Lytechinus pictus: one gene and its partners. The protein of the gene in region 2 purifies or fractionates together with the protein of the main gene of each other region. This does not show direct contact. Links are inferred from orthologs where the notes say so. Each region holds a gene or a part of one and is shown on either strand. Other genes may lie near its edges. The genes, in order: F-box only protein 11-like, forkhead box protein J1-B-like and cyclin-dependent kinase 20-like.

Region 1 (10,967 bases), on a different chromosome or scaffold from region 2:
ATATACATGTATCATTTTCAACGCTAAGAAGTCACAGGAGACAACACACACCAAGAGGAATACATGTATTCCCGTTACTTGCGTTAAAACAATAAATGTAGGTCATTTACCGGTAATTATTTTGAAGTATAAAAAAAAAACATGTAAAAACACAAACAGCATTGATTAACTTCAAACGAGAAAAAAGGCCTAGATAGATGTGTTTAATAGCTAAATGTAAGTCAACCACACACATGTACAATGGTGCCTACAAGACAAGTATGGTAAAATTGATATTTTTACTGGTAATATTGATATCAAGACTTCAAAACAAGTGAAAGAAATGTTTACTTCTAAATCAATTATACTTGGCTCTGAATTGAATTAATTATCAACTTACATGTATTACATCTAGGCCTAATAACTAGTACAGATTGAAATTAAAGATATGCCAGTATTTTCCCACCACAAGTCTACACTTATTTTTTTCTTTCACACAAATACTGTAGCCTATTAATTCGAAAAATTTACCCAATACTGTACTTTTTTAAATATGGAAAAAAAATCTCAAGGATTTTAAATATATTTGCTTTTGCAAAATAAAACCAAGTTTTAAACATACTAATAGTGCTTTAATATACATCGATGTTTATCAACAAGTATTAGTGATCGGGAAGGGTATTATTTATAAGAGGTATGTACATTTAGCCTAGGTAGGACATGGCAAAGCACTATAGGCCTATAAATGATAACAGTATGTAGATTTAATAGCCACACACAGGCAGGTGTAGGTGGGACTAGACACAAAGAAAGCTCAGCAAGTGTAACTAACTGAATAGCACTTATGTAGATTGGCTTCCTAATCAACATTCACACATGAGTTTCACTGCTTCACTCCAATCAGGACAAAGGATGCTATTACCGTGAATCAATGACAAAGGCATGTAGCCTACATATTGTCGGTGTTCGTCCAAACCGTCATATCAGTCAATTTTGGTTTTAAAAAATGATTTTGAGATTTTTGCAGGTAATACAAATCCTAAAGTATAAGTAAATTTCTAGGCAGCAATTTATTTTAGTTTCTGAGATTTTCTCTGAAATGTGTTTCGCACTGTTGTATCACGATACAACGGTTTGGATGACTGCCGCAATATATTTGTACAGTGTAGCTTCACTCATCATATCCTTCTTTTTTTCAGCTTGCCCAGAAGTACCTTTCAAGATGAACTGTTATTTGTTGCTTATGAATATCCACAAATCAACCTGTATATTAAATCATAATTTGTATAATAATATCAATGTGTGGTCATTTCAAGATGACCTTTGATTTGAATATAGGCCTATAATTTTACATGGAGGCCAAAGTGTAAACATGCAACACTGTAAGAAAATGTACATTTTGTACAATATCGCAATTATAGAACAGCATGTCTCCAGATGCTTCCATTTTATTGGAATTCCTTATGAGAGAAGTCTATTGTTGATTTGGGTGGAAGTATTCACTTTTCAAAAGAGAAATGATTGCTATTCATTAGGCTCCTCTGCCTGATCTTAATGCAAAGGTCATTTGACACAAGGGCCAGCTACAAACTACCGCACAGCAACGTTGTTAGCGATGCTCTAACAGAGGCTGTTACAATTGGTATGTGGCAGCGATGCCTAATGTTACAACAATGCATTACGACACATTGAAATAAATGTTTTGACTGCACAATCTGAAAGATGTGACTGGGCTTAGGCCCCCATCACACTTATTCCGAATCAAGCAGAATTGGCCGGAATGAAAGGACTATTGTTCGACCACCAGTTGGTCATTTAAATATACTTCGAACACCATTCGAAAATACCCCTCGAATGTTTTGAACATGACCAAAACCTTCGGGACGGCCAAAAGAAATGACAAAAATATTTCGAAAGCACTCAGAATGCAGTCAGAATATTTAGAAAGCGCCTAGAATGTCCAAGAATGTAGCACGAATTATCAATCTGACTCCATTGCGGTTCATTTTGACTAGTGTATGATGATTCACCTGGTCAATTTACTGAATTTCAACTCCAGTTTGGTGAATTCATAAGTTCCTCCCAAAAATTTCCAGATTTTGGAATATTTTTTTCGTTCTAGCTTCTGCTTCATTCCTGCTGATTCCGAATAAGTGTGCTGGGGGCTTTACTGAAGCACTGGTCTATACTAGGCGTATTTAGACACCCTTGAATCACCAGAGTACCCGTTTAATTACGAGAACCTTTTAAAGCCTTAAAATACCCAATAATTATTTTCCGCATTCACAACGTCCTCAAGAATATCCTTTTTAAGTTCTCGAAGTTACATGTACAAGCATGCCCAATATGGTCCAATAAGCAGGCAAGGCGCGAGATTCAAAATCGCTAGCTCAGCGGCCACCCACGGCGACCGCACCCAACTACACGCTGGGCCAGGGAAGTTCTCATATACCTGCGACCTTGGAAAATAGGAGGAGCTTCTGACATTTGTATCTTATTTTCAATTGACCAGTAGCAAATGTAAATTTCAAATTAAAATTCATACGGCCCTGCACAACATAGGAATAAATTTGTACATTTGAAAAAAAAAATCTTTATTTTCATTCACACTTGGTGTATAAATTTAGAGAATTTATACTGGAGCATGTCAATTACATATGACGTGACAACAGTAAAATATACTTGGCAATGAGGTGCATCAATGCCATGAATGCCTTTCATCACAGCTTTTACAAGTCTATGGACACACAAACATTGACATGTTATAGATTACGATTGGCAACGCTCCCCACCCTTTCTAATATCCTCCATTCTGATGAATTTCAGAGATTAAATCATTCTGAAAATATGACAGATATCGATTCTAAAATCCACTTCTTTTTAATTGCTGAATTGACTCCTCCCACCAATTTGTCTCACTACACTAATAGTAATACATGTAAAAAAATGAGAAAATGAAAATCCATAATTTATTGTTCGAAATAGACATGAAATGAAATAGTCCGAAAATTTGCTTTGCCCAATTGATCGTGGGCCCGGCAGCCGCTGTGCAGCGCCAGATCGACGAGGCTCTATCCCTTTAATCGTTGAACGCCAAACAGGGTAGCAGCAACTCCCATCTTTAGATGTAGATGTATATTAGAATATTTCCAAGTGATAGTAAGTTCTGATGCTGTGTAATGTACATGCACTGAAGTACATCTGCAGAAGTGCATCCTTTTTTATGATTATACCACATTGTGTTTACGTTTGTGCTGTGGTTGTTGGGAACTTATTGAATAAATTTTGTTGGGATTTTGAAATCTATCAACATTGGACTTTTTTCAAAATATATTTCACCTTTGATTACAGATGGAAAATCTATCAACATTGGACTTTTTTCAAAATATATTTCACCTTTGATTACAGATGGAAAACGATAGGAAAATAAACAAAAACAAAATACAAGCATAGCTAGAGCTACACGTATGTATACCAACCAAGTAGGCCTACATGTACATTTACATGTACATGTAGCATCTTCATGTAACCCAACATACATACATGTACATGTACATACCAAGCAACTATCAGGTTTTGTTTACAAATGAATAATTTATGCTTTGAATACATGTATGTACATATTACATGTATAATCAGGGTTTATCCATAATGGACTTACACGCATATTTGACGTACATTAGCGTACACACATATGCAACATGACAGCGTTTTAAAACATGAAAATAATGAAACCATATTCTGGCATACATTAGGGCTTTTGCATGCCATCATTGATACTAAAGCAGAGGTACTAGACAAATTCCCTGTGCACTGGGCCCCCATATATCTGTCACAAATACTCAATGCCGCAAGATCAAAGTTGACTAATACTCTCTCTCTCTCTCTCTGTACATGTCACTATACTCACCCCGAGCAGTTTTCTCTGAAGTAGATGATTTTCCCATTGCATTCCTTCGATGAGTTGATCAAACAAAAACCAAACCTGAGATTGTCAAAAATGTACATGTGTACCCAGTGGCATTATATATGTGCAAGAGGTACGCTGTCATGAGAAGTAATGCATGAAATAGAGAGAAAAATCCAACTCAAAATGGATGAAAGCCAAGCTCGCCGCCGCCGCCGAGTGAGGGAGAGAGAGAGGCAGTCAGCGTGAATACAGGGTTCCTGAACAAGTGCCAGACAGGGTCATATGAGGAGAGTTCCATTTTTTACTTAGAACTCTGTCTCTCTGCCCCTTTCATGTACACCATCGCACCATTCTACATATATATGTATGCAGTAAACCTGTTTTGATTTCAATGAGAGAGGACCAATGGGAACTGAGTGTTTGGAAAGCCTTGAACCTTGTCTGTACTTGGGGAATATCAAGACTTGGAATGATATGTATGGGCAAAAGTAAGCCAAAATACTGAGAATTATATAGGATTTCTAGGAAGGCCTACATGTATACAAATTTCACACGTCAAGTATACTGTATAATGTATGTGGACAATGTTTGCGTAGGAGCAAAACATTACACTGAACAGTCCAGAAAATAAACGCAGGCTACTTTTCACAATCTGCTCCCAAAATCTGGAACATTGGATAAGCTTTAACATTGCAGTGAATGAGGATTTTCTGGGGCTCTCTTGATCATTACGAGGACGAAATCGCCCAAGCCCCCTCGAAACTTTTCCCCTGATACAGTCACACATCAGCAGCAGAGCTCGTTCACGATCAATTATTTATTTCAATAAGTGGCATACCCTTGAATATTTATTCCCTTTTCATACATCTTCAGAAAGTACTTAACCTTGTAATACTCAGAGAATTCGTACGTTGTAATTCAATTTTAAATAAATGCATCTCTTCAACTTTCCAAAGTTAGTAAGGTGTTGACATCTCTTTTTTTTTATTAGTTACAAATATGCCTGATCCAACAGACTAGCGGCAGAAAGACCTTTCATAGCAGAACAACTTGCTTCATTCCATCTTCATGGTCAATATCACGGAAAGTATGTAGGGTCACATAGGGTCACAGGTACAGGGTAAACAAAACACAACCCTGGCTCTTTTCACCAGGCTTTTTACAGCCTCTTCATTCAAATCAAATTGGAATAACAGTAAGGTTCAATTTATTCATGTCCTATATTACTTACTCCTCTCTCTCTCTCTCTCTCTCTTCATAGTCAGATATCCCTCCTCACATGCCTCTCCTGCTTTCTCCTCCTTTCTTGATCCTTTTCTTTATCCGGTCTCCTTCCTTTCTCCTTCGCTTATTTTCATTCTACTTTTCATAATTGTCTATCCCTTATTGTTCAAAATGTAGCTTAAATTTTTTTTCCCCCCCCTGAACTGTCTTCATTTTCTCTGATCTCGAGTTTCAAACTTTGCCACGTTATCCCTGTTCAAGATAAGCCAATTAAGCACAGTAATTACCCTTCTCCCTACAGTATTTCTATCTCATTCATTTTTAGAATCATTTTATAAAGCAATGAAATACCCACCTTTATTCCAATAACTTCACCTGCAGGCCCTTCCATTAAATGTGAATGCCCCTTCATTACAATCAGGCCAATTTTTTTTTTTCAATTTTGCAGTGCTTCTTTCACCAACTACCGTAAGGGCACTAGTATTCAACCCGTTTGGAGAGTTTCTTCAAATATACAGAAATATGGAATTTACCTGAATTTCAGACCTGTCTTATTCCAAGAGCAAATGCTGGTTATTCTTTTCCCGTTATTTTTTTCTTCAACCGTCAACTGCGTGCGCAGGCGATCGAATTTTACGGCGACGGTTTTGGTACTAGTATTCAATCCGTCGATACTAGTATTCAACCTAGTGATGAAAGATGGCCCTGTCTTTCAATCTGCCCTTGTCCCATCCGACTATGGACTAGACCATTTGAGATGAGATCAAACAGGGAATTAATCAAAGCCAGAGACTTCCATAGATCTAGATCTAATTTAGCAATCTAAACCCTTTTGAAATTTGCTTTCAATCCTCACTAGGTTGAATACTAGTGCCATTCAGTGCAAAAGGCCATCGCCGCATAATTCGATCCTCCGCGCATACAGTCGACAGATTGATAAAGAAAATACCGACGATAGATTACCCTGGAAATAACAAAGGTATGAAATTAAGGTAAATTCCCTATTTCTAAATATTTTGGGGAATATGTCAAAATCTTTGAATTATGCCGGGTTGAATACTAGTGCCCATACGGTACTGCCTAAATATGCAACAAAAAAAGATAAACTTTACATGTAGCATTGCAGTGAATGGGGGATTTCCTGGGAATCTTTCAAGCACTTTGGGGGCAAAACCTCCCTGGACCCTATTTTATTTTTTCCCTAGGTGGTTTCAGACTGCCTCGAAGTTCGTCAGTTCCAGGTATTCTCTGATCGGGAAATTTACCCCGATCAGAAAATACCAGGTATTTTGGTAATGTGAAAGCAAACTACGCGTAATTTCCCCGAAAGAAAATACCCGCTAAATAGTAGGTACTTGGCGAAATTACGAGAACTTTCGCGGGGATTTTTCCAAGGTCGCAGGTATTTTGGCGATGTGAAAGCAAATTACGGGAACTTTTAGCCCAGCGTGTCGTTGGGTGCGGCGCCGTGGGTGGCTGCTGGGCTAGTAGTTTTGAATCTCGCGCCTTGCCTGCTTATTAGACCATACTGCGCATGCTCCTAACTTCAGGAATTTATCCCGAAGTGTATGTTTCGGGGCGGTCTGAATGCAGGAATAATTAACGGGTATTTTTTAGCCTAAAAATGTTCTCGTAATTTAACGGGGATTCTTGTGATCGAGGCGGTTTGAAACCACCTCCTGATTACATTAAAATATCCATATTTTATCTTTCCTTCTGTCTTCTTCTGCATATATCTAAAGAGTTTTTTCAAAGCAAGCCATGGTGTTTTCATACTGTGCAAATCTTTTTTTAAATATCATTATCATTAAATCTGGCTTTCTAGATTGTATTTTCATATTCACCATTTTCTAATGATTTTACTTTATTCTTCAGTCGAAGGCTGAAATTATACCAATACAAACAATTCCATTCAACGATACATGCCTAAAACTACAAATGGGTAAAAAGTATAACCACTGTAAATGTAGGCACAATACTGCACACAGACATATGTTGTATATCCTGACATTTTAGACAATATACATGTACTACATGTACATATATAGAAGGAGTGTCTTATAAAATGTCTGCTGAAATATACCTGTTCTTTATCCTGACGACATGTTTTGCACAAGGAGTACATTGAAGGCACAATCTGTTCATACATAGGTTGACCCTGGAGGGAAGGAATTTAGGCAAGGATCTGCATGTCATGATGAGTCAAGGGGTGAACTTTACAACCCTCTTAGTTTAATGACTAGAATTTGCATTTTACTGGCTCATGCCATCTTGCAAAAAAAAATGTCTGAATATAATCTAAACGATAGCTGTATCTTTAAAGGGAAGCTACTCTTGTGGAAAAGATTGAATCAATAATTGAGGTTTTCAAATTCTAGTATATCTATATGGAAAATGTTAAGACTATTATAGGAGAAGGGTTCGATTCAAATAATTATTTCTAAGATGCCCTTATATTCAAGCTATGGCTTAAAGGGGCTGAAGTATTTGGGCCAAACATTTGTGTGTCCTATTGCTATTGAGTATTTTTAGTGACAATTTTAAAGAACAAACGCTCAACGGCAATACCCTAAAATTCATCCAAGACTTTATTCAATTTTTTTTTTCAAAAAGGAGCTTAAAAGCATAGGTCTACATCAGAGATTCTGATGAATCCAAAAGATATACATGCCTGCAGAAATGACAATCCCACGTAAATTTACAAGATTAGATTGTCATCTTGTCCCAGACTCCCATACAGGCCAACGTGTATATCGAAATCAAATTCAAGAAATAGATCTCTCAGAGTCAAGAAAGAAGGGAATATTTATAATTTACGTGGTAGTTAATGACTAAAATCAAACTAACATTGGCATTTGATACCAAATATATTCTTTAAGTTAAGGCAGACCTCGGCCTATTTTAGAATACTGTACTAGAATATATGATAATGTACATACATTACACACATGCACTTGTATTCAGGAGATCATGAAGTGGAGAAAAATCCACCAAATGTATGTCAGTATGACTTCCTTCTTACAGAAATACATTCTTCACACGGACATGTTACAGAATACATAAGGCTATAACTCTCGGATCCTCTATCAGCCTTGATCCTGTATTATCTTGACAGTTTGTTGCCTAGCTATACATTTCCCATTAGCCCCACAGAGGCTGTACCACAAATTACAGAGGATATTATACTCGGGCGCCAATATGGCCAGTTTCCTGCCAACGCACACAGAATCACTGCAAAATGTGGATCCCTGCCGAAAAAAGAGACATTTCAAACATACTTCACAGGGTATACTGCTTGAAGAATACTGTAAAGGGACTTTAAAATGTTGAAAGGCTTTTAAAAATTGCACTGAAGTAATGTACATGTATTTGCTTCTGTATGTATATCAAATTAACTATATGTATTATGCCTCTCTTGGAAAAGATTTTATAAGTAGTAGTACTACCAAATAGTAATAGCAGCAGCAGCAGCAGTAGTAGAAGTTATAGTAGTAGTAGTAGTAGTAGTAGTAGCAGTAGTAGTAGTAGTAGTAGTAGTAGTAGTAGAAGTAGTTGTAGTAGTAGTCATAGTAGTATAGCAGTAGAAGCAGCAGAAGTAGTAGTAGTAGTAGTAGTAGTAGTAGTAGTAGTAGTAGTAGTAGTAGTAGTAGTAGTAGTAGTATAAGTACATGTAGTAGTAGTAGTAGTAGTAGTAGTAGTAGTAGTAGTAGTAGTAGTAGTAGTAGTAGTAGTAGTAGTAGTAGTAGTAGTAGTAGTAGTAGTAGTAGGAGTAGTAGGAGTAGCAGTAGTAGAAGTAGTAGTAATAGGAGTAGTAGTAGTAGTAGTAGTAGTAGTAGTAGTAGTAGTAGTAGTAGTAGTAGTAGTAGTAGTAGTAGTAGTAGTAGAAGTAGTAGTAGTAAGTAGTAGTAGTAGTGGTGGTGGTGGTGGTGGTGGTGGTGGTGGTGGTGGTGGTGGTGGTAAACTGCCGATTCGTCCATTGCCAACTTGTCCACTCATCACATGGTCTACCTTTAGTCATTCTAATGCCATTCCGTCCAACAGTTCTTCTCACAACCATTTGGTAGAATAATCACTTTGTCTTATCACCACTTCATCTATGGCCATTTCGTCTAATACCCATTTTCTTTACATTTATTTCGCCCAGTTAACACTTATCCAATCCAATTAGACCAAATGGTTTATGGACTAAATATCTAATGGACCAACTGGTTAATATATGAAATGGTGAGTGGATGAAATGGCACTTAGACCATGTGGATAGTGGACAAATTGATGAGAGACCAAATGAGAGTAGACGAGTTGGTAATTAGACGAATTGGCATTAGACCAATTGGAAATAAACCCATGTACATGTAGTAGTAGGAGGAAGGGATAGTAGTAGGGACAGTGATTTTCCGCGATCGCGGAAAACGGACGGAATTCACGGAAAGGGCCTTTTGAAACGGAAAGTGGCATTTCAAACGGAAAATCACAGAAAACATATTTTTCCTCAAAATACACAGAACAGCGACAGAAATTACTCCAAAATCTCTACAAAATATGAATATTAAATGGCCACAAAACCCCAGAAAACACGATCTCACTTCGCTACAATCATAACAATTCACACATCGTGACTGCACTCGACTTCATCACTCGACCGTACCCCTCGCCCGTCCCCGTATCCGGCCGAGCGCCGGGCAGGGTTGGGCTTTTAAAAAACATTCACATGCACACATCATTTGAACAACAAGGTCGTGTGTTGCTGCCCTCTACGTTTGAAGATGTAACAGCGCACAATATCGAGATCTTGAAATCCAAAATGGCGGATAGGCGAAAATCGTTGACTGCTGAAAACGATGTCCAAAAAAAAACCCCCAAAATTATCGATGAAATTTCATTTAAGTGTGAAATAATGCTAATAATGTGAAAGGTGAGGATGTATTCATGTTAAATGTGTTTGTCAAAACATTTTGTGTAGCTGCATAGATCCGATTAAAGCGGATTCATTTGCGTTGTTGGTACAGTGGCAGATACAAATTTTGACCAGGGCGAGTGTTGTGATATTGCTATTCAATGGGTAAACGGAATTGTCACTTTTTAATGTACACAAAGTCTATGGGGAAACAGAATTTCCGTTTTCTGACATGCTGAAACGGAATTTACGATTTTCTAAAACGGAAAAGGCAATTTTTTGAAACGGAAAATCACTGTCCCTACAGTAGTCATAGTACACTGTAGTAATATAGTAATACTAGTATAGGCCTAGTAGCAGTAGTAGTTGTAGCACTAGCAGTATGTAGCAGCATTGGGGGGGGGGGCACTTCCATTGACCATGGCGTTTCGAAAAGCACCCTAAACAAATATTTTCCATATTCTGAAAAAGTACCCCTTAACAAGTATTGGCATGTGAAACCCTATGCTTAACAAGTATTGGAAACAAAACGGTACCGTTGACAACTATTCCATGAATTGACCCCCTAAACAAGTACAGCGATATTTTTATTATGTCACAGTGACAGACGTGATCATGGAAGTCGGCTTTACCTTTACTTACATTGGTTTTAGTACAGCCCGTTCTCCCACACCTCGCTCATATCGGACCCTAAACACGTAATGTTGGGGCAAAAAGTACATCCTTTATAAAGCATTTGTCTTTTTATAACATCGAATATTTGACCGTAAACACAGAGCTTTCCTAGCGAAATATACTTTTTTTCAGTATTTTAATGTTTTTTACACTCTTATTACTTTACGTACGTAATGTGCCCAATCTTGAAAAAGAGATCCTTTTTACACGTTTCTTTGGTCGCGACTGGTATCCACTCGTCAATGGAAGTGACCCCCCTGGGCAGCAGCAGCAGCAGGAGTAGTA
Region 2 (10,422 bases):
AGACAATTTAAACCATATTAACAGTAATTGATATCGCACTAAATCATCAACATGCCAGCAAAAATTGCTCCAAAATAGAATATTCAAATGGCCTGCATGTGCCACGATAGAATGATTTCTTTTTCCAGGAAGGGTGATCATTTTGAATTTCTAGCGATTTGTACGCTGGAACCGATTTCAAACCCATTCTATCAAAGAAATACCAAGTCCTTGTTAATGTTAGCGCTCATATTCAACTATAAATTCCACAGATATACAACGATCTGTAATGGCCAAGCAAGTATCTAGGTCAGTCCACGTCGAAGGTCAGTTTTAACAAAAAATGACCCCGAGCGCCTTTTATGGAATATAACTTATATTTCCCTCGCCTGTTGCTTTCACCTGCCATCTCCAGTAATAGTGTTTGATAAATCATTTTAGACTCCCATTTCTGACGTCAACAGTCATATTTTATTCACTTTTATTTCAAAGCCAGCCACCCCTGTAGCTATTTGAACTGTAGATGTGTGAGTACACAATGAGAGTCGTCCATTCCAAAAGCTTTTTGCTTCCGCACGAGAGCTTGAATTATAGATATATATATTTCTGTTAAAATTCACCGTCAAAGTAGTGCATATAATCCAATATTCGTGTACATATGCAATTTCTTGTGACAACAAAAATTGTCCACTTATGAATAATTGTGATAAAATTCTCAAATTGAAACCAATATCAGATGAATATGGCCTGCATGTCCAAACTTATTCATTATTCATTAATGTAGGGCTACAAGTAAAACCTCTGATTATATATGGTCAAGTAGTTTTATAGTTTTACAATGGAAGATTCAGTTGTAGTTTTGGGAATACGCAAGGTTGACAGTAGGCCTACATCACACGACTAAACGGCACTCTCCAAGCAGAAATTCTCCCCGGTGACCTTAAAGTGACCTAAGACTGACCCACCATTGACCTTGAGCTACCAGACCTTGATGGAAGGATGGAGGTTGGTGTGGTATTACACCCTCGAGGCCCGAGACAGATAAACCCCCGATAAACCCGCCATCAAAAGTCTGCATTCCTTGGCTGTGACCCCAAGAGGTCAAACTTGCCAGGCTCACTGCAGGGGACTGACTAGCTTGGCGGTTTCAGGCTTTTTGGATTTGGCGGGTAAACATGGTAAAAACTACAAGTTTTGCCATTTCATGAATTGTAGGAAGGGGGTTGATGGGGGGGGGGCACGATGCACATTTTAGTACGTGTGTCATTAACTGCAGTGACGGAGGTTTTCACTTAAAAGAACTTTTGAAACTTCGTTCAGGATATATTGATATATTATTTCTCTCGTAGCTAATGCGCTACATCATGTTCATAACCAAAAATCTGAAATTGACCACTTTTCTTTCTAGGTACATGTACCCCATCCTTCAACTCTGCTATCTAGACACATCCTGTATGTCGCCTTGTCTATTATTCCCCTTCTTCTCCCGTATTCCTCCGTCCACAGCCCGAATTCCAAGAAGTTTTCAGGGTATTGACAGGATCAAGACGGTAATCGTGAACTCCAGGATGTGTTTTGTTAAGTGGTTGAGTGGTATTTAAAAAATGCTATTCACACATGCATCAATGCTGAATACGAGTCCCCAAAGAGGGCAGATTCTATCTAGGTATATTTACGCTTGAGATCTACGAGTTCAGATAACAAATGCGTTGTCTCAAGAGCTCAAAAGTCAAATGTTAAAGACTCATCTAAAGAAAAGACTTAATCTATTCAGTATTTGCCAAAGACTAAATATATTAAGTCCTTTATTTGACTCCTTGCAACCATATTTGAATACTATACCTCACAAATAGATCAAGCTTGTCCGGACGGGTTATGTGTATGGACAAGACGTCAATGTTTAGGAACTTTGCGATCAATATTCCATAACTCGATTGAAAGAAAATCGAATATTAATAAAAAGAGATGTTCACAATTATTCTTGCTACTGAATGTACTATGAAGTTAGAGAAAATCCAGAGCAAAAAATGATGTTTTTATCTGCCTAATTCGGGCATCGCCCTACCCATCCTATGAGAAAATAAAAGAAACACTCTTTTCCACAATATTTACCTGCCAACTGGGGTCTGCAACTTGGTAATACTTGAAGTTCTCCGTAATCCATTTGTAGATTGATGACAGAGTGATCTTATGTTTCTTGGACTCCTTCATGGCCATCCATATCATGGTGGAGTAGGAGTATGGTGGCTTAATGCTCGAGTTCGTCTTGTAGTCTGTATTTTGGTCCAATTGGAGGTGACTTTGATGGAGATGGTGGTGGTGGTGGTTGTGATGGAGGTGGTTGAGTGACGACGAAACCTTCGAGATCTTGATCTCGGAGTGCGAGTGCTTGTGAGAGTTCGAGCTCTTGACGACGCCATTGCCGCCCTTGTGGATCTGCAGGGCACTCTTGATGCTGTTCTGGATGGAGAGCGGGGTGGGGCTGCTTGGAGGGGTGGGGTGCTGGATGCGCATGATCCGGAGGTTCTGCAACCAGTTCAGACTCGTGAGACTGTCGTCGAGGTTGTCTTCTTTGGGTTCTGTCTTTGGGGGTTCGACGGGCTGGCTCTTGGTGATCCAGTTTTGTTTGAATTTCACAGCAGCCTCCTTGGAGCTGAGCAAGGGGATGGTGATGGTTGCAACTTTGGCAGCCGCCATCTTGGATTGGGGTTGTGACCTCTTGTTCAAGTGAGTCGACGTATTTTCAATTTAATTCCCACAAATTCCTGTAAAAAATGGACACCAAAGACACTTGATAACTTTATGGAAATACAAATCAAGAATAAAGCAAATGTTTTACGAGAGTAAATTAATAAAGTTAGATTTTCGAGTTATGTCTCGTCGGCCCCTGAATAGCATTAGCAACAATTAAGGCATTCGGATTTCTAAATTTTTTCAGACCCCAGCCTGTCTTACGTTAGAGTGGATAAATGTCAACATAATGAGCATTATTAATTATCATTTAATTTGGATTTGATTTAAGAATGTAAATTAAAATAAATTACCTAGATCAAAGAACGGAGTTAAGTCAGTCAGATAAGAAACCCATGCCATCATGCCCATCATTGCCAAATTACAGAATAAATTCATGCAAAACTTGATGCGCGCACGTGTAGTTTGTTTACATTTTGAGCGCGTACGATAAAGCGGAAGTTTTTGTGCGTAGATGCATTTTTTGCGCGAAGTACGCGCATGACAGGCCCCATATTAGGCCAGGCAATGACGTCACAATAAAGCCAATGGAAACGGGGGCTTCCCCTAAAAATATAAATCACGAAATCCAGCTATCTAGGAAACCTTTAACTTCTGCCATGGTTTAATGTGAAATTCAATATAAAATGTCGAACCCCATATATAAAGAAATAAAAGGGCAATATCAAATGTAGCTGAAAAACATCGATATCAATATAAAAATGGGTGGTATAATACTTAGAGAAACAATTGATTAAATAAGTAAACACATGTAAACAAAAATAAATAGAAAACATGTTAACGAATGTTAGGTGTCAATATAATAAATATTACATAAAAACACAGTCATACAAGAACTCACCGAAATGAAGTAGAGCCAAGTGAAGTAATGAAATGAAATAAAATAGCTTCCTTTTATTGCAATGATACAAAAATCCAGGCACATTGACAGATGAGGTACGATGTATATAGAAAACTGGGTATCAAAACAACAACTTGTTATGGTGGTTGCCCCGATGGTGCAACAGGTTGTGTGGAATACAGGCAAGGCTAGTCTGTTGCACGTCAAGCTATGCTGGCCAGAGAGAGAATTTACGAGAAGCGTCCTATTGCGAACGCGGACAGCTGATCGACTGAAGTCCGACGGATCAAAATACACATCAACATGTGAATGAGCATCGCGTCGCCACGTAGCAACAGAGTAAATCGTGATCAACAACCGAATGAGCGCTTCTGATTGGTCGACTCGCCGTGGTATAGCATAGAATATGGCTTCGCAGGGTGGATTGCCTAGTCTTGCATGGGCAACCTCTATTCCTGAAAACCAAGATAAACAAATCACTTTTCGCACTAATGATGGATATTGTCAAGAGAATGAGATATCTCATATTTTCAGTATGATGAAAAATTTATAATTTATTAAAATTTAAGGGGGAATTACAACTTGTGTTAAAAATCTGATCGCGGTCAACGATTTGATGGAATCAGAGGGGTCTTGAAAATAGAATATCGTTGACAGTGGTTCACCGCATCTCAACCTGTATTTTATAGCACCTGGAGAGATAATTTCACATATAAAATTACATTTTCGTCGAAAACTACATCTCATCATCATTGCATCCACCTCGCATTAAGGATATTGATATCTCATAAACGAAAAATTTATTACACAGGGGAAAAATTAAAATATTAATGCGATTTCTCGTAGGCTGTAGCCTTAAATGGTGAAAATGTTTCTCATTCTCGTATATTATCTACGACTAGAAACTTGCTGATTCCGTTTGACAGATTTCACGCGAAGAAGAAATCAAGGAAGTCTACAAATAATTAAAGATCTGTGTTTGGTATAGGGCTAATTTAATTCGTACATGTGGTGTAATAGCAGCATGTTGATTCAATTGGACCTTGCCTTTTGATGAAGAAGGCGAACAAATATAAGAAAATGCGGATCCTGAAGTTTATTTCAGTTTTAAGATCATATGGCAGATATTCAATTATTCCCTCTTGATATTAATGAGATTTATCGGCTCTTTATTTTCTGGTATTTTGTCTGCGTGGAAGTATATACCGGTTTGCCAGAATGCTGGAATGTGTAATAAAAAAATATTGCGTTGATTGCTAAGACAAATCGATCTATTTCGGAGGCCTATATTCTACACGGTAACTTGTTGAATATTATCACTATTTCAAATTCATGAACTGTGTTACTTCAATAGGCTCAACACTACCTAAATATTGCGTCTTTACAGAAACAGATCTGTGATATATTATCATTTTATTATAATGGTTGTATCATCTAGTATCATTATCATTATTATTATCATCATCATCATTATTATCATAATCATTATTATTATTAATATTATTATCATCATCATCATCATTACTATCAATACCATCATTACAAATTATCCTATGTGGTTACACCAACTGTTGTGGACCAAATTTTTCTTTGACAAAGTAAATGAAAATGTATGAGCGGATGAAATGGAAATTTGACCAATTGGGCATTAGACTAATTGAGAATTAGACCAAGTAGTATTAGACCAGATGTAGTGTAGACCAAAACGGCAATTAGAGCAAAATTGATAGTAGACCAAATGAAGGTTTTGTCATGTGGTATCTGACAAATTATACCAACTGGTAGTGTAGACCACGCGAATATAAACCAATATTAGCGGTGATACGTGTTTAATCCGTCATCTTATTCTTCACCCATATCATTTTCAGACCGAAAACTTTGACCTAATTAACAAACCAATATTACCTGTGTATACGTGTTTAATCCATCGTCTTCTTCCTCATCACCCAGGCTCCTTTTGAGACCGAATACTTTGACCTTAATTATCATCGGTTGACTGACCTCACAGTCCCGGGTCAATGCCGGGGCCATCAATGTCAATCGATGCGATTCCTCTTATCCTTTCTCATCAGTGAATTGGCATTGTTCGATACTTTCAGCCAGGAATCCATCGAGATTGATTGGGTGTCGAAAAGGCAACAAGAAGGTCAAGTTCGCGCAGGTATTAACTCGGGTGTAGAGTACCCAGATGTAATGGTGTGGCGTTGAGACTGGGCTTTCTTTCATTGATTTCAATGAAGCATTTGATTTTCAACCTTTTTTTTAAATCTGTTTTATTAAAAAAAAAATCATTCAAGGGACCACTTTCTACATCACCCCTCGGACCATCTGACTTCTCTTCGATTAGCCCTTTTTTCTTATAGATTTCTTTATCCCAAAGAGATGTGAGCCTCAAGGTAAATTCAACTCCTCCCATCGCACAATAATCACTGTATGGCGTATAGATGGGGGGGGGGGTTCTTGGGGGCATGGCCCCAAAAAAGTTTTACCCCAAGAAAATGAATAAGAAAATCAAAGAGAAGCAAACCGGTAAAAGATATAAAAATATGGTGTTATTTTCTAAATTTATTGTCTAAACCTATCAAACATTTTGCTCGTTCGCTTCGCTTGCCGTGACCTTTTAGAAATTTTGCTCCATACTCCATACACATTTTACTCATTACGCTACTGACATATTATTCGCGCACTCTGTCACCCCCCCCCCCCCCCCCCTTCCTCTCTCATTCCTTTTCACTTTCCCAATGCAGATACTCCTCCCAACATTAATGTGCAATTGATATTTAAATAAAAAAATACACTTTAGATTTCGGGAGATGAAACGTTTTATCATAGGAGGCTCTTTCTGTCCGCCTTTTCATATTCGGTGTTAGCCATGTTCACAACACTCTGACACACTGTCCTGGTAAAATAGAAATGTGGTTAGGAGTTACAGCGTTTTGCACTCTTTGAAGAAAAAAAACGGAGTCCCTTGTAAGGCGTACTCCCCGGGTGTACTCCTCGAGGACTAACGACTATACTTGAAAGACGTCAATCTTAATTGCATAGTCTTTGATCCATGCAGGTGAGAAAATAAAAGGATTAAAGAGCTTCTGGGGAAAATCAATGGCGTATTAATGAAAACTGACACCTTCTTCAAAATCAAAACATACTGTAACAATAACTGGGTCACTTAAAAGTTAAAACCTCTAAAATACAAAGGAGTCCCCAGCGTGTTAACTTTAAATCCCGCCATTATCTTCATTCTTTTTGAACGCATAAAAATTTAAGACAGGGCAGTGTCTCCATGTTTCCTTTTTAGCTCATATAAAAGGGCATTTTAATGGACACCCGTTTCTATAGGTTTGCTTCAACATAGCGGATCAAGTCAGCCTATTGATTATTGAATGATCTTGAACGTGTTGAAAATGCTTTTAAGTATGTCGTTTTAGAGGGATTGTGTTTCTCTCAATACGTTTCTCCTTACCCATCGACCTGTTGAGGTTTAAGAAGAGGGTGTTATGAAGAGGGAATTAGTGACGTCCAGATTATGTCGTTTCATTTCGATTCAGATCAGTGAATTTGAATGGAGCTCTTTATCCGTGATTCATGCATACCTCGATTTTTTTCCCACAAAGAAGAATGTTCTGAAATTCATGATAAAGTGAAATATACCAGATGGTGATGCTTGAGGCGGATCCGGATTGGGAGGGGGAACTTGCCGCGTTCCCCTTTTTTTACAGTTCCCTTTTTCTTGTTGCCTGTCGTTTCTTGGGGGCCAATCGGTTCTATTGACCTTTGAGCTCTTTTTCTTTTTTTTTCTCTCTCTCTTTTTTCTTTAGGGGGGGGGGGGGGAAGGGGCTCACCACTCGGCCTCCCCACTGGATCGATTGGCCACTTTGAGAAGCTTTGTCTTGGCCTGTTGAGATTCATCGTGTACTGACGGGATTCGGTTTGGTTTCTTTGTTTATTTGTTTCTATCTTTCTTTCTTAATTTGGAGCGTTGTCTTTACTCCATGTCAATAATAAATTGTTCAATGATCCAAATCCATGACAAACCAACTCAAAGTGCGCATCAACGTTTGGTGGACAGAAAGGTCAGACATGAGATGTCCAGATTAGACTTTGAAATGGATCTTTTAGAGGTATCAATGGACCATGGTCCACCCATGTATTAGGTCCATGGTCCATCTCACAGGGCAACAGGTCAGGTGAGCATAGGATTTATTTCTTGACCGTGCAGGTCTCAATCGAAGGTTCAAACTTGAAAATATCCAAAACGTCTAACATACTGCACGGTCTGCACTATCACCAGAACCAATTCGGACACCACATCTATTATAATTATTGTACCATCATCGCCATCAGGGGCGGCTTCACAGGTGGGGGCAGGGGGTGATCGCCCTGATTACTCGCACCCCCCCCCCTGTGATTTTCGAGTATTCAAGACATAAAGGAGGAAATTCAGAGAGCAAGATATGAACAGTGTGGGCCGTGTAACTATATTATGTATGACGTCTCACTGTGGAAGTCTAGCCCCATATTACAAACAATTCTTGCGCTGCCCCCAGGCGCGGATCAAGGGGGGCACAGGGGGAAATGTAATGTAAAAATGACATTGAAACCGAGATGTGCCCCCCTTTTGAAATTGAAGACATTTTTTTTTTTGGCTTGTCAAAATTTTCTCCGAAAAATTTGCCCCACCCTTTGGGAAATCCTGGATCCGCCCCTGGCTGCCCCCGATCACCATTATCACCTTTAACAATCCTCTTGCTCCATACACTCAAAGCTAAAGTTAAGGTCATATGCAAGGTAAACTTTCTGTGTCAAAATTGTGTTCTATTCCTTTTCCATCATCATAATTATTACCACCACCACCATCATCGTCGTCGTCGTCATCATCATCTTCTTCATCTTTATTTTCATTATAATTGTTTTTCCTCTTGATTATATATTATAGCAAGTGTTGGCTTGTTTGATTTTCTTTCTTCATACTTAGTTGATACTTTAGTAATTCGTATTAATCCATTGTGCTCATAAGACATGTAAGATGATTATATAATGAATTATGTTTCGGTTTGTCATATTTTCAACCGTTTTTTGGGGGTTGCAATGGCAATCCATAAACTGCTACTGATTTTATGTTCAGTGATTATATGCCTGATTTATTGTCAATATAAATTTATGTTATATTATATTGTTATGTCGAAGAAAAATAAGTCAAATAAAAAATCAAAATAAAAAACAAGTAGATCCACAGACTGTATACTACCAATACAAACATGTTTACGGATACTAGAACAGGTAAATTATCGATGGTTCCAAGAATACAATTATATAAAGAAAGATCGTCTGGTATCCTGTTTGTCACAGCTCTGACATCATAGATTGATAGTCGTAAAATGGTGCTAAACAATACTTTCGGAAAGTATAGGCGAAATGCATGAATAAGGATCAAGATAGCGCGGTTTGCTTAGGAGGCAATGACCTCTTAAATATTCTCGATCGGGGGGTGGGAAGGGGCGGTGGCACCCATGAAAATATGGGGGGGGGGCGAACATATCGATTTGTGACCGAAAATGGCCTAAATAACGAAAGGGCGGTCGATAATGTTGACAACTTGAAATACGTATGATATGCAATGTATTTAAGTTTTAAAAAACATTGGAAAGTATTTAAAACCATAAAACTGGCTCAGAGCTACTATATTGAACAAACAAAATTGACAATATTTCGGAGCGCAAAAATTTGTATTACGACCATGCGTTTTGTCCGACAAATCACTAATGTTCATGAAACACTCTTCTGTTATCCCGTCAATTTTTGGATACACTACGATTTTGTTAAATGTAATGAGCGATTGTTTTCGCAATTGTAACGGGGACGGATTCTACAGCATAGTAAATCTATTGAAATGCCTGTTAAATCACTATGAACAGCTGAGAGGTCTTTGTCGAAAATTGGTGAACCGGGACAGCTGATTGTCGTTAGTGACGAACAAAAAAAGCAAATATGTAGTTTGTCCAGAGTCAGGATGACACTGCTGTTTTGACTCACCGACTTTCGACAATGACTTCTTTGTCATCAGGGGCTTATGGCAATAGATTCTCTATGTTCCAGAACGCGTCTGCGTAGCATTCGCGAAAACTCCGAAAAATGGGTCGTTACGTGCGATTCCACTTCAAGCGTAAATCACAAATTAAGCGCAAGTCTTTTGATAAAATTGTAATTGGTTTGCGGTCATTTACAACTTAATTTTCTTGCAACGCTCCAGTAGTGCTCAAACGACCCAAAGGAGACCAGTGGCGGATCGAGGGGGGGGGGTTAGGGGTTAACCCCACCCCCCCCCCCCACCTCGGGCTTCCTAAGTCGCGCAAACAGAACAGTTACATAAACGGGGGGGGGGGGGTAGGACGCATTACATCACATCTCATCGATATTGGTCAAACCAACTTGTCAAATCTCCCTCTTAGCAAAAAGCTAGATCCGCCACTGGAGACATATTGCATTCCGCATGCATTGTTGTTTATATGATTTTCTGGTGATGGACCAAATGCATTGCATTTTATTCAAATGTAAATTCTTGATTTAACCTTTTCGTTGATGTCATTTAATTTAAAATTCATTCGATTAATTACGTACACAGATATGCGAGGCATATGACTTGGCTATTTGACTCCCTCTTTCTATTCATTACAGTTTCTTGTTAAATTTCACGTGAACATGAGATATAAATAATGTTTTATTGCATTGAAAATTTATAATAATTTACATTTTTCATATTCATTCTATAATATTATCTTGGATTTAAATTGAATTTTCTTTTGGCAGGGTAGGGTAAAGAAACACAACACAAGACAATTAATGAGTTCACA
Region 3 (10,399 bases), on a different chromosome or scaffold from region 2:
ATATGCCAATTAAAGTTTGATTTTTAATGTCAATGTCTTGAGAAAAGTAGCAGGAAGGATTTGACAGTCAATGCATCATGTGAAAAATCTTTTCTACAGAAAATAGGCAGATTAAAAAAAAAAAAAAAGTGCACACCTACATTACCAAGAATGCATATAGCATTTTCGTTATTTGAATGCAAGATAAAAGAGCATTCTTGATTAAATGCCTTGCTCACGGGCATAGGTGCCGTGGCCAAGGATCGAACCTAGACTTTCCATGTAGAGTCAGGCACCTTAGAATACTTGGCCATGATGGCACCTCCAGATGCTAATCACTCACAAATAAGATTTATTCTTGCTCTCTTACTTTCACAGAGATATAATACCGTGTCACTTGAAGTAAATATATTTCTAAATGGCTATAAATCACAGGTAAACTGCAAAAACAAGATTGCAAACTTACTGTCCATGTATGTGCCATGTAGTCATGTCCCACAACTACTAAGTCCAGTGTGTGGGACCAGAGTATGCAGGGACACTAAAAAATCAACTTCAAAATACCCTTTTGGATGCTGAAAAAATCCCATCAAAATCCTCAATCAGGAATGACACCATCTTATTGACAAGGAAATAGCAACAAAATTCCCAAAACAAGAAGGGTCGAGGGGATATGAATGGATTCGCAGACAAAGAATTTAAACAAGTGGAATGCCTCTGGCAGTCTCGCCTGCATTACGCGATTTGATATACAAGCAATGGTGACTTTGGAAACGGCTATTGAATAATTATTCACAAAAATAAACATTCATATGATAATAAAATATTATGACCATTGACCCAAAATTACCTTTGACCATGATCATGTGATCTAAGATGTGTGCAAAACAATCATTTATACTTGATTACCCTTACATGTATGTCTATGTTTCATGAATTAGATTCATAAACTTTGTAAGTTTTGATGCCAATTCAACAAATACCCCCAACATGGCCAATGTTCATTGACCCTAAATGACCTTTGACCTTGGTCATGTGACCTGAAAATTGCAAAGGATGTTCAGCTAAATTACCTTTGACCTTGGTCATGTGACCTGAAACTTGGGCATGATGTTAAGTAATACTTCACTACCTCTATTTCATGCACTAGGTCCATATACTTTCTAAGTTATGATGACATTTCAAAAACTTAACCTTAGGTTAAGATTTTGATATTGATTCCCCAAAAGTTCATTGACCCTGAATGACTTTTGACCTTGGTCATGTGACCTGAAAACAGGACAGGATGTTCAGTAATACTTGATTACCCTTATGTCCGAGTTTCATGAACTAGGTCCATATACTTTCTAAGTTGTGTCATTTCAAAAACTTAACCTTACCTTAGGTTAAGATTTGATGTTGATGCCGCCACCGCCATTGGAAAAGCGGCGCCTATAGTCTCGCTCTGCTATGCACACGAGACAACAAAAAAAACCTCCTTTCAGGCTCACTCTTAATACATGCATATCATCCTCAAGAACTGAACCACCTTATTATTTCACCACACACAAGTTACTGAGGACAAGATCAACCATAAACACTGGATAAGGTGGCTTGTCAAATTTAATTCTTTAGTTTTTTTTTATTACAAAGAGAGTTTATGGGCCATGTTTTTTTTATTCCCACAACACTTTCATCAACACAGTGCCCCACAAATAAGCTCAAAATTTTAATTCAAACACTCCGACTCTTTCATTTTCAGTCTGTGGTAAATTAGAAATATTCTCATAATAATGAAAGAAATAAACAGTTCATAAATGAATTTTATTGATTATTTTTTGTTAAATAAGTGATATTTCAAACACAGAATGGGTAGCTGCAGTGCAGACAGTGCCAGACAGACACTTCACTCCGGGGGGGGGGGGGGGGGGGGCACTCAGTATATGATGCATAGTGGGTATATGCCGCGGAGGGGACCCCCATTTTTACACTCAAATTTCCGTTCCAAGGCATAGCATTTTTGTCTTATTGAGAAAAAGAACAAAGAAAGCCGCTCCAAAGTATAGCATTTTCTTCTTATCGAGAAAAAAGAAGAAATCCGCTCCACAGCTTCGCATATTTTCCGTTACGACGTTCCAGCCGTATTGATCTGCTACAATGAGCCGCAATTTGGGTGAAAAGCGGCCGCAGAGCGCTGTCCAACCATCGCATCTGCGCTAGCGCACCCGGCGCCAGTGCCGCCGGGCTAGCTGCATGCACGTCCATAGGGATTAATACGCAATCACACGCAGGCGACCCGTTTCAAGGACCCCCGTTTTCACAAACATTTGTCGTTCCGAAGCCCGTTCCCAGGACCCTCCTTTTTACAATAAGCCCGCTCCAAGGCCCCCGTTTTTTGTATCGCCCGCAGCACATACCCACTACTTTTTTGGTCGAGTGCCCCCCCCCCCGGGCTTCACTCTAGGGTCGTTGGAATCTCAATAAGGTTGAAGAAAGCTCAGCTGCCAGAGTAGTCAGACTTTCAACCACCAATGTAAATACAAATACATAGATATTTATTCAAAAATTTTACCTGTAATGCAATAAAGTGCCCAAATATCAGATACTTAAAGACCAAAACAAAAATACAATAATTGGATCAAATAAAAATTATGTGTATTTCTGTGGTACAAATGTTGAATATTAAGCGGCGGCTTAGCTCAGATTTAAGAAACAGGGTCGCAGAAAACTGCGCCAAAAATGTGAAGAAATCCTTGGTTCTGTTCCGAGTACGATAACTTTCTCGCAAATTTAGGATCGTATCTTCAAAATTTCCAATCAAAAAAGAAAGTAAGAAGAAAATTCAACGGTATCAAAATTGCACAGAAATCAAGTCATGGCATGCTTGCAGGTCGCCTTCATTCGACAGGGGCGCGGGCCCCGATTGCAATGCAGGAGCGAATGACCGCTGCAACTTTTAGGTTGCCCATCGCATGCGGTGCAGCGCAATTCAGCGGCTCTCACATGTATTGATTATTGAACGCGTGATGTGCTATGTCGAGCGAATGGCAGGGCCAGGCAGAATTCGGGGCAAGAACCGTGTTTGGCAGTGGTGAGTGGATTTCTAACTAGTGGGTCGCGCGTGCTGCAACGCCACTGGAGACCTTTCGTTTTCTGTGACGAGCCATGTGGACGTACAAGATTAAGGAATTTTGGGAGCGCTGCGTATGCGCGAAGTAATCTGTGACGAGCCTCCTCGTTCACTGCCCAAATCTGTGACTCGTATTTGAGGGTTTTGACGTTCAGTGTCATAGTGCTCGAACGAGTGCTAGTTCGTACATGATGACGTCATCCAGGCTTAGCAAAAATGAATGAAGCCGCATCAACATTCAAGTTTCGTTGATTCAGCAGGGCTGGTAAACTGCAAATTACTGCTTGTTACCAGCTTTTCCATTACATTTAGTGTGTCCTGTTTTCAGACACTACATATCCGACGATAGGTAATTGATGTTCTGTTTCCAAACAACTGTGTTTTTTCGGCTTTTTGCGCACGAGTACAAATGTTGCACCCACAGTCGCCCCACTGGTTCGTAGCGTGATGCTACGCCTGATTCTCCGGCCGAGCATCGGCCCACGGCCCGCTCGCTATCACGCTGGTATATGCTGTGGCCTGGTACGGGTATGTCGACTTAAAATCGAAACTGTTTTTAGGGTGTCTGAAGCCACACTGAAAAGTGTCAGCATAAAACAGGCTGATTTAGGGGAAAATATGGCACATTTTTTCGGGGAAGTTCAGGCTACTAGAAAAATGTGATCTGAATTGATTATTAACTTGTGTTTGGCATGTATGGGAAGAGAAAATTCAGGGGCTTCTTTTGACAGTAAGGACAAGTTTATATGATTATTTTAAATAAGGATTTAGAGATAAATTGCAAACCCTTATTTTTGTGTGTGTTGAGATTGCCATTTCTCCATGCGTTTTCTATGGGAAAATGAAATTTCTGTTTTGCACAATTTTTTTCACTTTGTCGCAATTTTTCATTGTGATCTGGTTTCCAAATCTTTATAAAAATCATACCATCAGATAGAGCATAAAAAATCCTATTGGACTCTTTATGGACAAGTTTTTGGCATTAGTAATAAATTTATAACAGCTCTCGGAAGCTAAAAATTTGGATTTGTGTGTGTCCATTTCTTAACTACACAGTCTATGGCAGAGAAATGCTGAAAATTGACCTAATTTCATTCTTCTTTTTTGCAGCCAATAATTTGATTTTTTTCAAAAATGTTACATTTCTGTCAGTCTGAAGGTAATTTCTCTTCAAATTCACAAAGAAAATGTGATATTTTCTAGAAATAAGAAAAATAATTTTTTTCTCCAGACACCCTACTGTTTTCATCAATACTACAATGTACGAACGTTATACTGAACGAGCGGTGTCACCACTTCCGGTGAACTAGGACTACGTTGCAGTCAATCGAAAGCTCCTTAATTCTGGCATCCACAACAGCAGACTTCTATAACTTGATTTTTTTGTGCGCGGCGGCATGTAATGAACTCTTGATTGGCAGGGGATGTCGAATCTTGGGCCATGAAGCATGCAAAAATGGCGATCGGCCTACATTTCAAGATTTTTGGAATTTGAAATTGAAAATGAACATTGTCATTGCCATTGGCATTGCATATTATTTATTAACATAAGACAAATAATAGGGTCTATATTTAACAAACCTTGGTCCAAATATCATTTTGTGAAAAGAAATTTTAGAATGAAAAATATTGCAGAAAAGCTTAACATGTCGAATATTGGGCACGTAACGTTACTCTACATTGAGACTACATAAATTTTTAAAGGGCATACAAATGACTACACAGATTAAACTTGTATGTGGGAACACGTTTAACTTGTAACACTAACAACCGATATACAAATCCCCAGCATGCAGCATAATCATAATGTCAGAATGACTACCCTGTGCTGTATATGCCTCTTTATGAGTAAAGATAGAGAGAATATTCGGGAGATCAAATTAAACTATAAGTGAAGAAACGACGACAAAACATCTGACTTACATTTTTGTTTACGAATTACGCGACGCCAAGCATCAGTTCTCTAATTCAGCGAACGTAGAGGGCTTATGGCATCATCAATTTCTCGGGGTGGGATCACTGATGTGGCCGGGGGATTTTTTTTTCTTCTTTTTTCTTTCTTTCTTTCTTTTTTTGTCAGTACTTGTGCACCCTTTGCGAGAGGGCAGTCCATGGAATAACGATAACTACGTGGGTTTTTTTTTTACTCAGACTACTCCTCGTGAATATTCATGAATACGAACCGTTAGGATTATCGTAATTTCCGACCCATTGATCAGTTCGATTCAATTTATTATTTGTAGTTGAATTCACGGACGCAGGTTCGCGAACGATTTTTCATATAAATTTTCTTCAAATTGAAAATTGAGGAAAGACTCTGAAAAAAAATACAAGTCCAAGATGTAATCAGATTAAAAGCCTCATATCTACATTCCATTCACACTGCATGCCCTTTTTCATGTCAGGTGCACATACCGTACTGACGGAGAAAATCACGGGCCGGGGGGGGGGGGGGGTCTCCGACTTCCGATCCCTGTCAATGTATGTCAAAGAAAAAAAAACCAGTCGAATAAGGGACCGATTTCCTACCAATTGGGTTTATTTTTAGTCTTATACATTCATTCTTTTTACGATGATTTCCCACTCATTCTAACGCTCTCTCTCCCTCTCTCACACACACTCTTGGCCTTCTCCTACTCCTAGCCGAGCACGGGATCTCAGAATATCTTTACCGTAAATCTTTTTATTGATAGAATATCCCGGCCTATATCCTAACTATAAAATGATGCACCTTTTCGGCTGATTATGATACTATTTTCACTGTACACACGATGCATCGCCAAAACAGTGGAAAACAACTCTTTCCATGGCCTTTATGTGTATTTGTAAACGGGCATGCGGTCTCACCTTCCAAGTGCCCCCCCCCCCCTTAGTAAAAGTTGCTTTTAAAGGGGTACTCAGGGCTGAAAATATTTATATAAAAAATAGAGTAAAATTCACAAAGCAAAATGTTGAAAATTTCATCAATAAGTCGGATAACAGATAACGAAGTTATTTAATTTTAAAATTAAGCATTATTTTGTGAAAATAGTTGGATGCACGTCATCATGAATATTCATTAGGTGGACTGATGATGTCACATCCCCACTTTCCCTTTTCTTATTTTATTACATGAAATCATAATTGTTTAATTTTGTCAAACATGTGTAAATAATGTGTCTCCTCTATAATTGAATAATAAGTTGCAGCAATGAATTTAATGCACTAAATCAGTTGTCAATCCATATTTATCAGTTCTTGGTATTATAGAAAAAAATTGAATAAACTAAATTTCATATAATAAGATACAAAAGAACAAGTGGGGGACATGACATCATCAATTTGCTCATTGAATATTCATGAAGACATGTCTAGAATTGTTTCACCGGAATAATGCCAATCTTTAAAGGGATGGTCCAGGCTGAAATGTTTATATCTAGATAAAAAAAAAGTAAAATTCACAAAGCAAAATGCTGAAAATTGTATCAAAATCGTGTAAATGATGTGTTTCCAGTATGAGAAAATAAGTTGCGGCAATAAATAAATAATGCACATAATCAGTTGTCAATAAACCTATTTTCATATAATAAAATACAAAAGAACAAGTGGGGATATGACATCATCATCCCACCTAATGAATATTCATAAAGATGTGCTGAGAACTGTCTCACCGGAATAATGCAAAGTCTTTAAATTTCAATAACTTTGTTATCTGTAATCCGATTTTGATCAAATTTTCAGCATTTTGCTATGTGAATTTTACTATATTGATTGAGATATAAATATCTCCAGCCTGGACCATCCCTTTAAAATGCCAGAACTTTGTTATTCCTTGACCGATTTCAATCAATTTTTTTGTGTTTTGTTTGTCTGATTTTTCTTTATCTGTTTAAATCATATTATTTTCAGCCTGGAGCATCCCTTTAATAAAGCAGAAAAAAAATAAAGAAAAAAGAATGAATATTTAAAGTTCTGAGTTTATGACGTCATAGACTGAGCACCTTTCGTGTGATCCAAATTCCAAAAATGCCATTTAAAAAAAAAGAGAGAAAAAAAATTAATTAAGGGGGTGGATACATCATCCGAAACATTATGCTTAAATAGTTTGAATAAAGCGTGACATTTTTAACTTGAACAAAAAATTCAAGGAAAATGTCCTCTCGCTTCATTATTTCTGAAATTGAAAAAGTCCTGAAATCTTGATTATCCTTTTTTTTTACCAAACTTTTTTTTAATTTGTTACAATTGTGTTTTTGGGTTTCTGTTTTTCTGTTTTGATTTTGTTTTTGTTCGTTTCATCCCCCTCTTTGGTTTTGTATATAGATTTTTGTTTTACTTAGTTTACTTTGTTATGATTTCTTATTCTTTGTATTGTTTGTATATTGCACGGCCTCTCTGAAAACCAGCCATTGGATGATCGAGGGCTTTTTACCGTGTATAAATAAATCAAATCAAACATTAGTTTATACCCCCTTCTATTGGAAAAAATATTTTTAACCCATCATTTTCCATTAAAAAATAATTTACATAACATGATATACGGATGAGCTGCTCACATATGACGTCACGAAATAAAAATTCAAAAAAATTCATTCCTCTCTTATTCCTAATGGATGTTTTTCGAAGATATACTTGTTTTTCTTTAATTTTCCTGCTCTTATAAAACCAACATATCGCCAAGTTGCACGTTCTCTTCACAAGTACTCTATTGCACATGATGCAACATAATTTTTTTTGGTAAAGAATTAAGTTAGAATTAAACACAGAACAATGGTTACCACATCATCGACGTATTTTTTATTGATTTATCTTATTAATGAAAAGCTTCACATACAAACATTATTACTGCTTTATTCATCTTTTATGTTTGTATGTTTGTTTTTCATTTAATTATTCATGTATTTATTTATTTATCTGTCTATTCAGTTATTTATTCAATAATCTATTCATTCGTTCATTTATTTCTATTACATTTTAAACCTCAAACAAATAAAAATCGATCATGGATTTCTCATTCAAACAAATCTGAATATTTAGTATATTAACTCCTGTTGATTCCAAGAAAGCATTTTCATCGGCATTTTGATGTTTCATAAGTTTTCAGATCTGACAAATTTCTTGATTTTGATTGGCTGAGAAATTGAGAAGCACTGTTGCTATGGCAACTGTCGGATGAAATGGGATTTGTCCTTTCATCAAACACTACGTCGAACAAAAATTTTGAGTGTATATTCCGTTCATGATTATACTGAATTGAATATAATACCAATGCTTACTCTCACGTACACTTATATAAAACATTATTATGAACTATAAACATTTGGTAATTGTATCTAAAATAAATGTAAAATGCTAATGGAGGGTAGCCCAATATAGTAGTACATCATGTCCTTATTAAAGATCAAGAATAACAAGAACCAGGCCCGGCAACCTATTAGGTTGGTCGGCATGTTAAATTTACATTATTACATGATACATAAATCAGAGTACATTATACATTATAATCATAATACATTATTATATTACTATTCGATACAGTAATATAATGATTATAACCTTAAATATCTAAAATATATTACAAATAAATTCAAACAATTACGATGGATGCATTCACATGGTACACAGTAAGATAGAGAGAGATAATGAGAGATAGAGGGAAAGAAGAAGTGAGAGAGGGGAAGAGTAAAATAAACGAAAAAGAATTAGATAGATAGGATCGAGGAAGAGAGAATTGGAAAAATACATTATACAATAATATGCTATATGGAATAGTCAAAACGAGCAATATCGAGCAGTAGGGTAGAAAGAGAGATAGAAGATATATACATATATATAGAGAGAGAGAGAGAGAGAGAGAGAGACTGAGTTTGGGTAGACATGGTAGAAGTGAGGGGAGGTAGAAAATGGAACAATACTACCGTAACTTGTATACGAACATGATGGTATGTTGGGTTCAATGACAGATTTAAATATGCGTTATTATAATCAGATTGGTAAGTTATATGCTAAGGAACAGCAAATTCCTTATCATAGCATAAACAATAATTTAAAGTGAATCACAATATTTGTACATCACATTCTACTTATTTCTGATACAGACAATTGCAGTCATCTTCAACGAACGTATTCACCCTATTTACAGAAAATGCATCTTCATTATTTACAAAATCTTTATGCAGAAATTGTTTGTTTTGGCAGTAGGCCTATCTATATATATCTAATGAACTATATTCTTACATTATTTGTTGATAAAGTGCTAAATATTTTGCGAGTGGGGATGTTTTCATATCACATGATAGATAATTTTATAAAGTTTAGAGCCAGAAAATGAAATTGATTGTTTCCAAAAATTTGGAATTCAATTCGATATACATAAGTTTGAAAATAATGACCATTATTCTGAACTCTGCATGTTATACCTCGGTCACATTCAGGGGCCGCGGAAGCGGGGGGGGGGGGGGGGGGGGCTTCAGCCCCCCCACTTTTTTCCAAAATCGTGTACAAAAACACAAAAATGACCATACGATTGTGATTTTGTACATGGTCAGCCCCCCACTTTTGGCTCAGCCCCCCCACTTTGAAAACCGTTCAGCGGCCCCTGACATTTGCTCTACGGCGGCCATACGGCGAGTCGAAAACAGCCGTTTTATTAATTTTTATGGAAACCACTATATAGCTGGTACTAAAAATGTCAAAACTGCTGTTTTCGACTCGCCGTTAGGGCCGCCATAGAGTAAATGTGACCGAGGTATTAAACTATTGAACTGAAGGTGTTTGCATTTACGGCCCATAAATTTTATATTTTGTCAAGGAATAGTTCGTGATCTTTTTTAATCTTCACTCCTGTAGGCCTAACTTTCAATCCTGAAAGGTAATAGTGAGAAATGTAAAAAAAAGTTAAAGGTAGATTAAAAGATTCAAAATGAGGTCACTAAGACTATGTAAATTTCAAATTGGCAATTTGGTAAATGAATTATAAAACAAGTGAGAGGGACAACTTAGGCTGCACGTGATTTTCTCATAGTTATAATAATGATAACGGATCTCGCTATTTTCATTTCATTTCCCTTTTTTTTTTTTTAAATGGCGTTATGCTCAAGATGTCATTTTATTTTGTTTTTCTATACTATCTACAAGAATATTTTTTATTAGGAGGCTGCACCCTACAAGCTCTACTTTCTCAGCCACGTCAACCCAACCTGTTTATAATTTTGATTAAAATTATTGTACATAGAAATCCGCTATTATGTTTCCTGCTTTAATTTGTATATCAAATGTCTGAAATAGATTATAAGTGTTGGAAGGGGAATAAACGAAATGAAATTAAATAAA

The links.
Region 1: the proteins of forkhead box protein J1-B-like (region 2) and F-box only protein 11-like purify together in Homo sapiens (affinity purification with mass spectrometry; 3 studies listed by BioGRID and IntAct, counting the BioPlex papers as one, with this or other methods). This does not show direct contact. The link is inferred for Lytechinus pictus from reciprocal best matches to the Homo sapiens genes FOXJ1 and FBXO11.
Region 3: the proteins of forkhead box protein J1-B-like (region 2) and cyclin-dependent kinase 20-like purify together in Homo sapiens (affinity purification with mass spectrometry; 3 studies listed by BioGRID and IntAct, counting the BioPlex papers as one, with this or other methods). This does not show direct contact. The link is inferred for Lytechinus pictus from reciprocal best matches to the Homo sapiens genes FOXJ1 and CDK20.

The regions. Positions count from the first base shown.
Region 1 is NC_087251.1:42,373,004-42,383,970, forward strand, and holds the start of F-box only protein 11-like, read right to left. Parts: upstream 4,274-10,967; 5' UTR 3,927-4,273; coding exon 3,890-3,926; intron 1-3,889. UniProt on the Homo sapiens protein: Substrate recognition component of a SCF (SKP1-CUL1-F-box protein) E3 ubiquitin-protein ligase complex which mediates the ubiquitination and subsequent proteasomal degradation of target proteins, such as DTL/CDT2, BCL6, SNAI1 and PRDM1/BLIMP1.
Region 2 is NC_087254.1:9,475,731-9,486,152, reverse strand, and holds the start of forkhead box protein J1-B-like, read right to left. Parts: upstream 3,944-10,422; 5' UTR 3,572-3,943; intron 2,745-3,571; 5' UTR 2,677-2,744; coding exon 2,092-2,676; intron 1-2,091. UniProt on the Homo sapiens protein: Transcription factor specifically required for the formation of motile cilia. Acts by activating transcription of genes that mediate assembly of motile cilia, such as CFAP157.
Region 3 is NC_087247.1:23,735,050-23,745,448, forward strand, and holds the start of cyclin-dependent kinase 20-like, read right to left. Parts: upstream 5,073-10,399; 5' UTR 5,012-5,072; intron 465-5,011; exon of another isoform or gene 446-464; intron 1-445. UniProt on the Homo sapiens protein: Required for high-level Shh responses in the developing neural tube.